2 linked regions of the Sus scrofa genome follow. The protein of the gene in region 1 interacts with the protein of each later gene in a pairwise test. Links are inferred from orthologs where the notes say so. Each region holds a gene or a part of one and is shown in the gene's direction. Other genes may lie near its edges. The genes, in order: UBE2U and RNF144B.

What was found.
Region 2: the proteins of UBE2U (region 1) and RNF144B interact in a two-hybrid assay, tested with the Homo sapiens proteins (2 studies listed by BioGRID and IntAct). The link is inferred for Sus scrofa from reciprocal best matches to the Homo sapiens genes UBE2U and RNF144B.

What each region holds. Positions count from the first base shown.
Region 1 is NC_010448.4:148,300,643-148,304,468, reverse strand, and holds part of UBE2U (ubiquitin-conjugating enzyme E2 U), read left to right. Parts: intron 1-1,126; coding exon 1,127-1,208; intron 1,209-2,205; coding exon 2,206-2,298; intron 2,299-3,826. UniProt on the Homo sapiens protein: Catalyzes the covalent attachment of ubiquitin to other proteins.
Region 2 is NC_010449.5:14,051,928-14,055,753, forward strand, and holds part of RNF144B (E3 ubiquitin-protein ligase RNF144B), read left to right. Parts: intron 1-535; coding exon 536-747; intron 748-3,826.

The sequences.
Region 1 (3,826 bases):
ATTCCATCATGGGGTTTTCTAACTCCAAAATCCCTTGCTCTTAAGGCTTGGGTTCTATTCCTTCCTGTCTAGTGCACTTTTTGCCGACTGCTGTCACATATAGTACTTAAGTGCCTTTCACTTACAAGTTTAACACAGAGGAAGGCTTTACCCCAGGTGCCACCAATGATGTTATCAATGTCCACAGGTGCCATAGCTGTTTCATCACAAACAATATGGAGAATTTTTAAAAAATGGAAGGGTCAAGGGACTACTTAAGACTAGAAAGCTGTGCATAGGAAGGTGTAGAGTCCTTATCAACAGCTCCTTCAGGTATAGTTCAATGGCATTGCTCGGTTTCCACTCCTGCCGTGGAAGCATTGTCTTAGTGGATGCTAGGAACAATTACTGAGTTCAACATCAAACATCCTAGAGGCGTGAAAGTAACATTGGATACTGTTCCTGCTCCACCTGAATTTGTGGCTTGCTGTTGAAAGAAAATTTGATGAAGGGAGAAATGATATGTAAATATAGTTGATGTAGATAATAAAAGATGTAATGGTTATTCAGACTAGCACTCAACATAGCTAATAACTGTGTGGTTGCTCAGAGTGTTTATTGACTATGTTTAAGCATATTCCTCAGTGTAATGAATAACCTTTATCTATGAAATGTATTCTTGTTTCTCCATTGGAATAATAGCTCAAGTGTTTTATTCTTATATATGAGCGTGCTATTGGAGTTGTGTTTTACTTAATGAAATTTTTCTTACTTTATACTTATATAGCCTCCATATGGCTTTTAAAGGCTTTGAAGAAATGCATGCTTCTAACTATTCTTTTCGAAATTTGAATCTTATATTGTCTGTTGATTTGCATAAGCCACACATTCCATTCATGACCTTCCTATCCCACTCATGATTTCCACACTAATGATTTATTTTAAATGTACTTTTTTGTGTGTTTTCTGGTATCTGCCTTAACTTCTGTGAAGTAAGACAATATATAACACCTTCCCAAATCAAAAAATAAAGAAATTTATCAGAAAAAGAAAATGCAGAGCTTCGGGAATTTATTGCAACCTAATATTTGATTTTCAAAGCTGCAATAACTAATCCTTTTTCTGCTTTGATTTTTCTTAATTAAAGGGTATTAATGCCTTTCCTATCAGTGAAGATTTGTTGGAATGGGAAGTTGATATTAAAGGTCTGCAGAATACAATTTGGCAAGGTTTGTGCTTTCAAACATACTTTACTTTTTTAAAAGTCTTTATGTTATTAGTCTAATTTCTTTAATGTTGCATTATATACTTTTTTGAGAATTCTAAAAGTATTCACATGTTATTTTTTCATCGTATGGCTTAATTTTATTGCTATTTGTTAACATGGGTGTGAATTTCAGGCCTGAATTTTTCTTTATGCCACATCTTAATATCATGTTTTTAAGAAGCAGAACGTAAAGCATATCAATTGAAAATATCATCTCACAGTCTTCCATGAAACCAGAGAAGGGCAATTAAAATACATACTGGCATAAAAATCCCACAGCTATGTCTCATTCTTTTCCCTCTTTGATTTTCTCACAAATCTCCACAAATCAAATTCTCAAGAAGACTAGGGTGCTATAAACTTTAATGACCATGCACTCGTACAGAAGCAGATTAACAGGATATATTTGTTTGGGTGAAGTAGGAGAGAAAAACAGGTTAAGTGGATAATTACAGTAAAATATAATGTGCCATTATGGATTTTGAATGGATGACTGAGAAGGCCGTGATTAATTTTGCCTTAGAGATTCAGGAACAGCTTCCCAAGGAAGTGACACTTGAGTTGAGTCCTGAAGAATGTATGAGTGATGGCCAGATTTAGAATGAGAAGGTGATCCAGGCAGAGCAAAGAGCCTAGCAAAAGCCTCTATACAAGAGAGGGTTCTGAAGCAATGAGCTCAGTAAATATGAGGTGCACAATGAAGGGGACACAGTAAATATGAGATTCCACAGAGTCTGTGGGTGGAAAGGACTGGTGGGAATGGAAATGCTGAAAACAGGAGATTAGATTGTGAGGACTCTTATTACACTGTTTAGTGGGGTCTATAATCCAATTTACCTGTTCATAAAATCCTTGGGACCTTGGGGAGTCAAAACTGTGCAAAGAAACTCCAGTGTTAATCAGGTTACAGTTAATCAGTACGTGACACTTTAGTAAAAATGTTTATTTCTATATCATAGGATCATTCTTCCAACTGACAATAAGTTTTACATCAGAGTACAATTTTGTCCCTCCAGTTGTGCGATTTAGAACGATTCCTTTTCATCCAAATGGTAAGGAACAAATGAAGTTATTATTGTCATGGGCTCTTTCCCTATTAACCTTATTCTTTATAGTGTTTAATAATGATTCCTTTTAATCACTTTGTTATGATTATAAAAGTCAGCGTACTTACTCAGGAAAATATTAAAAGGCATAAAAAATTATCCATCTGATTCCTAATTCAGACAGATGCAACTCTCAACATTTAACCACATTTATTTCCTTTCTTCTGCATATGCATTTTATCTGCATAGTTGAGGTATTTCCACATAAAGTTTTATATCTTTTTTACTTAAAATGACAGAATACATTTATTTCTGTATTATTAAACATTCTTCAAAGAAAACTTTTAATGACTGAATGATAAACGTAACCATTCCTGCGTTGTTCAGTATTTTAGTTGGATCTAATTTTTTACTTAAAAAAAAATGATGCACTGACAAATTAACATCTTAAAAAGAAGTTAGATTGCAACTTCAAGTTATGCAAATTGTTGATCAGTTATAAATGTAAAAATTTCGACTATTAAAACGAAGACAACCTAATAGAATTTTTAATATGCTGGTGAGGAAGGCTTTTCTAAAAATAACAAAACCTAGAAACTACGAGAAAAGCATGACACATTAAATTGCATAAACTTTAAAAAATGTCTCTGTAACTAACAACATTATAAAGAGACAAAACTGCATTGACATTTGTAAAGTGAGGAAAAATATTTGAAAGGCATAAATTAGAATGTTTATAATATGTAAAGACCACCTGTAAATCAATAAGAAAAACATAAAGCAATAGAAAAATGGGCAAAGGTTATAAACCAACATTTGATAGAAAAAACGTAGTGAAAATAAACATAAAAAGATGTCAGCTTCACTAGAAAGAAAATAAATGTTAAAAATAATAACACAGGCATTCCCATTGTGGCCCAGCAGTTAACAAACCATGAGGACGCATGTTCGATCCCTGGCCTCGTTCAGTGGGTTAAGGATCTAGCATTGCCATGAGCTATGGTGTAGGTCACAGACGTGGCTCAGATCCTGCGTTGCTGTGGCTCTGGTGTAGGCCTCTGACTCCAGCTCTGATTCAGCCTCTAGCCTGGCAACCTCCATATGCCATGGGTGTGGCCCTAAAAAGACAAATAATAATAATAATAACAACAACACAGGAGTTCCCTCCTTGTGGCTCAGTGGGTTAAGGATCCAGCATTGTCATGCTGTGGCTTGGGTTGGGGCTGTGGTATGGGTTCGACCCCTGGCCCAGGACCTTCAACATGCTGTGGACATAGCCAAAAAAATAATAATAACATACAGTTACAGTACAGGTGGGCAAACAAGAGTTCTCTGATATAATGATATATAGAGTGACCTTGTGGGGAAGCAATTTGACAGTTTCATATCAGATATAAAGTGCAAATAGTCCTAAATCCTTGTAATACCATGTTTATAAATTATTTCATAGAAATGCTAGCACAAGTATGAAAGAATATGTTTTCTTCTATTTGAAGTATAATAGATTTACAATATTATGTTAGTTTTAGGTATG
Region 2 (3,826 bases), on another chromosome or scaffold:
AGGCTGAATAATATTCCACTGCATATTTCTATCACATTTTGTTTGTCCATTCATCTGTTGATGGATACTTGGATTGTTTTCACCTCTTGGCTATGGTGAATAATGCTGCTATGAACTTGATGAGCAAGTATCTGTTTGCGTCCCTGCTTTCAGGGGTGTACACCTTGAAGTGGAATTGCTGGATCATATGGTAATTCTTTATTTTTTTTTGCTTGACATTCTATTTATAAGGATTTTTTGAATCTGTTGCATTGATTGTAGCAATGCAGTTCCTAAATAGTATATTTGTTCATAGTGGTCTTTTAATTCCCATAGTTTATGTGATATGAGTCAGGCAGTGAGGCCCACTTCCGTTTCAGGACTCCAGAAATACTGTGCAAGTGGCAAGCTCTCTAGCCCGTGGTTCTCAGAAATGCGTTTTCTGTGCCCTTAGGCCACTGAGGATGAGAGTTTGCTCTGCTGGTGCCCAGATGTGTTGGTGGAACGAGAGCTGTATCAATGGATGTAATATTTTCTGCTTTGGGCCTTTCTGTAGGGATTAAGGAGACTGAAGAGGCTGAAAATAGGCTGATGAGCTCCGTTGGTAGCCTCCACTATCTCACCATGACTGCCGAAAATCCCGCTGAAAATCCCACGCCTGGAGACCTGGCTCTGACCCCCCTCGTCACTTGCAAACTCTGCCTGTGTGAGCAGTCTCTGGACAAGATGACCACACTCCAGGAATGCCGCTGCATCTTTTGCACAGCCGTAAGTTTTCCTTGGTTCTTTCATGATGAGAAAATACAGAGAAAGACTTGTACAAGTACAGCTTACATGTCTATGGCTTACTGAGAAGCCCAAGTCTGCTGCGATATGATCCTGCCTGGGGAAACAGTTCCACCTTTGAATCTGATTCCAAATACTATCTTGAATGGTAAACCTGGTATTGACTGGGTTTTACTGTAATGCGTGTGTGAAATTTAATTATTGGTTAAATAAGCAGTATCTTTCTGTTCTTAAGAATCTAGCTAGGGAGCAAAACAGTGACATTTTTTAACATGCCTTAGTTAACAGCCATCTGTAAGAAGTTTATCAGGTGGTTTGAATGATGGCGAAATCAGGTATCAATTTACTGGATCGTCTTTAATATGCTTGCTCATCTCCTACAAAGCACATGGTGTGTACACCTGTTTACTTGGTCGTATCTCCTTTTACATTTTTTTGTCTTTTCAGAATATGCTGAATGCTGCTTATTCCTCATAATAAAGAGGACCCTGTACAACTCCAGGGTGGGCTTGTGTCGTTTAGTTGGACACTTAGTGTCAATGCCTATGATCTTGATCACATGTTTTCCTGAAGATTGGCTGGTTAAAGAGTAAAAATAGCAAACAGGCTAATGGGTTCAAAGGGGCTCCTAGAAGTGTGGACCAGATTGACACTTGTTCAGGTGTTCACTCACTGAGGTGTTTTTCGAGCTCCTACGATATGCCAGGCACTCTGCTTGGTCTTGGGAATATGAAGAGGAAAAGGATACTTCCCGTAGGGAAGACAGACACGTTGAAAGAACTATACACAAGTCTGGTGAAATTAGGGATCCCTAGACCACAGAGGTCGGTCCTCCTCTTTGGGGATGGGAGGGGGCTTCCTGGCGACAGTGCTTTCCTGAGCTGAGGTTTTAAACAAGAGACTGCACACTGATGCCATGGCCTCAGCACCTTTTCGTTTGCATCCCCAATTGGGAAATTTCTTTTTTTTTTTTTTTTTTTTTGGTCTTTTTGCCATTTCTTTGGGCCGCTCCCGCGGCATATGGAGGTTCCCAGGCTAGGGGTTGAATCGGAGCTGTAGCCACTGGCCTACACCAGAGCCACAGCAACGCGGGATCCGAGCTGCGTCTGCAACCTACACCACAGCTCACGGCAACGCCAGATCGTTAACCCACTGAGCAAGGGCAGGGACCGAACCCGCAACCTCATGGTTCCTAGTCGGATTCGTTAACCACTGCGCCACGATGGGAACTCCCCAATTGGGAAATTTCAAATGACGGATTTTGTAAATTTTTCCTTTTCAAAATGAATAAACAGTAAGATAGAGCTACTCTGGGCCTGTAGCTTCGTAGGCCCAGAAATAGATGATCTTTTTTCTGTTTATGGTACCTACCTCTCTCTTGTATGTATTTGAATGAACTATACTTTCAAATTAAGGATGGATTAAGAGTCAGCTAGGGAGAGTTTGAGGCCTCTCAGCAGGGTGGAGGGGAGGGCCTGATGCCTAAATTAGTAATATTCACCACTTATCTTTGCTTTGGTAGGCCTTGCATGGGTACACTGTTAATACTTAATATATAGTAGGTATAATTACCAAACCAATGTGGGTTTAATACTCTGACTTGTGAAGGAAATTGAACAGTGATCGGTACTTAAATCAAGGGGAGTAAGAAGAAAGGAATCATTGAGGAAATACTAGAATCACTTATAAAAAAGACATCCTACTAATCATGCTTTTTAAAAAACGTTAACAAGTTAAGGTGAAATAAATTTTACCCCGTCTCCCTCTCTCTCCCTTTTTGTTTTCTTTTTATGGCTGCACCTGTGGCGTAGGGACGTTCTCAGGCTGGGGGCTGAATCAGAGCTGCAGCTACAGGCCTACATCACAGCCACAGCAACACTAGATCCAAGCTGTATCTATGACCTACACTGCAGCTTGTGGCAACGCCAGATCCTTAACCCACTGAGTAAGGCCAGTGATAGAACCCGGATCCTTGTGGAGACTTGTCAAGTTTTTAACCCCCTGGTCCGCAACGGGAACGCCCATCTCTCTTTTCCAAGTTAATTTAACACGACGCTTTTTCAAGCTAGTTTATATCAATTTTCTTAAATTTGTTTGGATTGAGGATTAGGGTAGAGAGAAGGCTTGGAATAATTTTGAGATAAAAAGGAAAGCAACTAAAATCCTTATGTTTTGAACTGGAGGATCCAGAGATGGAAAGAATAGTATCATTTATCCCTTCATTCAGCAGATACCTAGTGAGCAGCCTCTGTGTCCTGGGAATTGTTCTGGGCACTGGGATTTATCAGTTAAAGAACAAAACCCAGCAGAGATCCTTGCTTTTAGGAACTTGTGTTCTGTCAAAGAGTTACATAATAAATCATAAGCCTAATAGGAGTTCCCCTTGTGGCTCAGCGGAAACGAAACTGACTGGCATCCATGGGGACGTGGTTTCGATCTGTGGTCTCACTCAGTGGGTTAAGGATCTGGTGTTGCTATGAGCTGTGGTGTAGGTTGCAGACATGGCTTGGATCCCACATTGCAGTGGCTCTGGTGTAGGCCAGCAGCTACAGCTCTGATTCGCCCCTGGCGTGGGATCTCCATATGCCGCAGGTACGGCCCTAAAAAGACAAAAAATCAGAAATAAATAAAAAAGCCTAACAAATAGATAAGTTACATAGGAGTGGGTAATAGGGATTTAAGAAAAAAGGTAGAGCTGGTTAGGAGTGTGGGGCCAGGACACTGCAGTGACAGTTGCGTGGACGGGAGGTGGGTTCATGAAGTGATGTTTGTGCTGGTTCTTCCTCATCTTGTGTTACTTGACGGGAAGTGAGGAAATGGCCTTGTCATCACAGGGCAGCTTCGGTTTCCTTTGGTGTTGCTTTGTTTCTGAATGCTGTGCTTCAAAACTGTTTTCTTAGATTTTCTCACATCGGTCTCAGACCCTTGCTAACCTTTGAAACAAATGAGTCAGAAGCCACATTTGGTTAAAGCCAGAAGGGACATTCTTGTCTGAGGATTACTGAAGTTGAAGAGCAGGACATGGAATTCACTTTTTGCAATGAGATCTCATGCAGTAGAA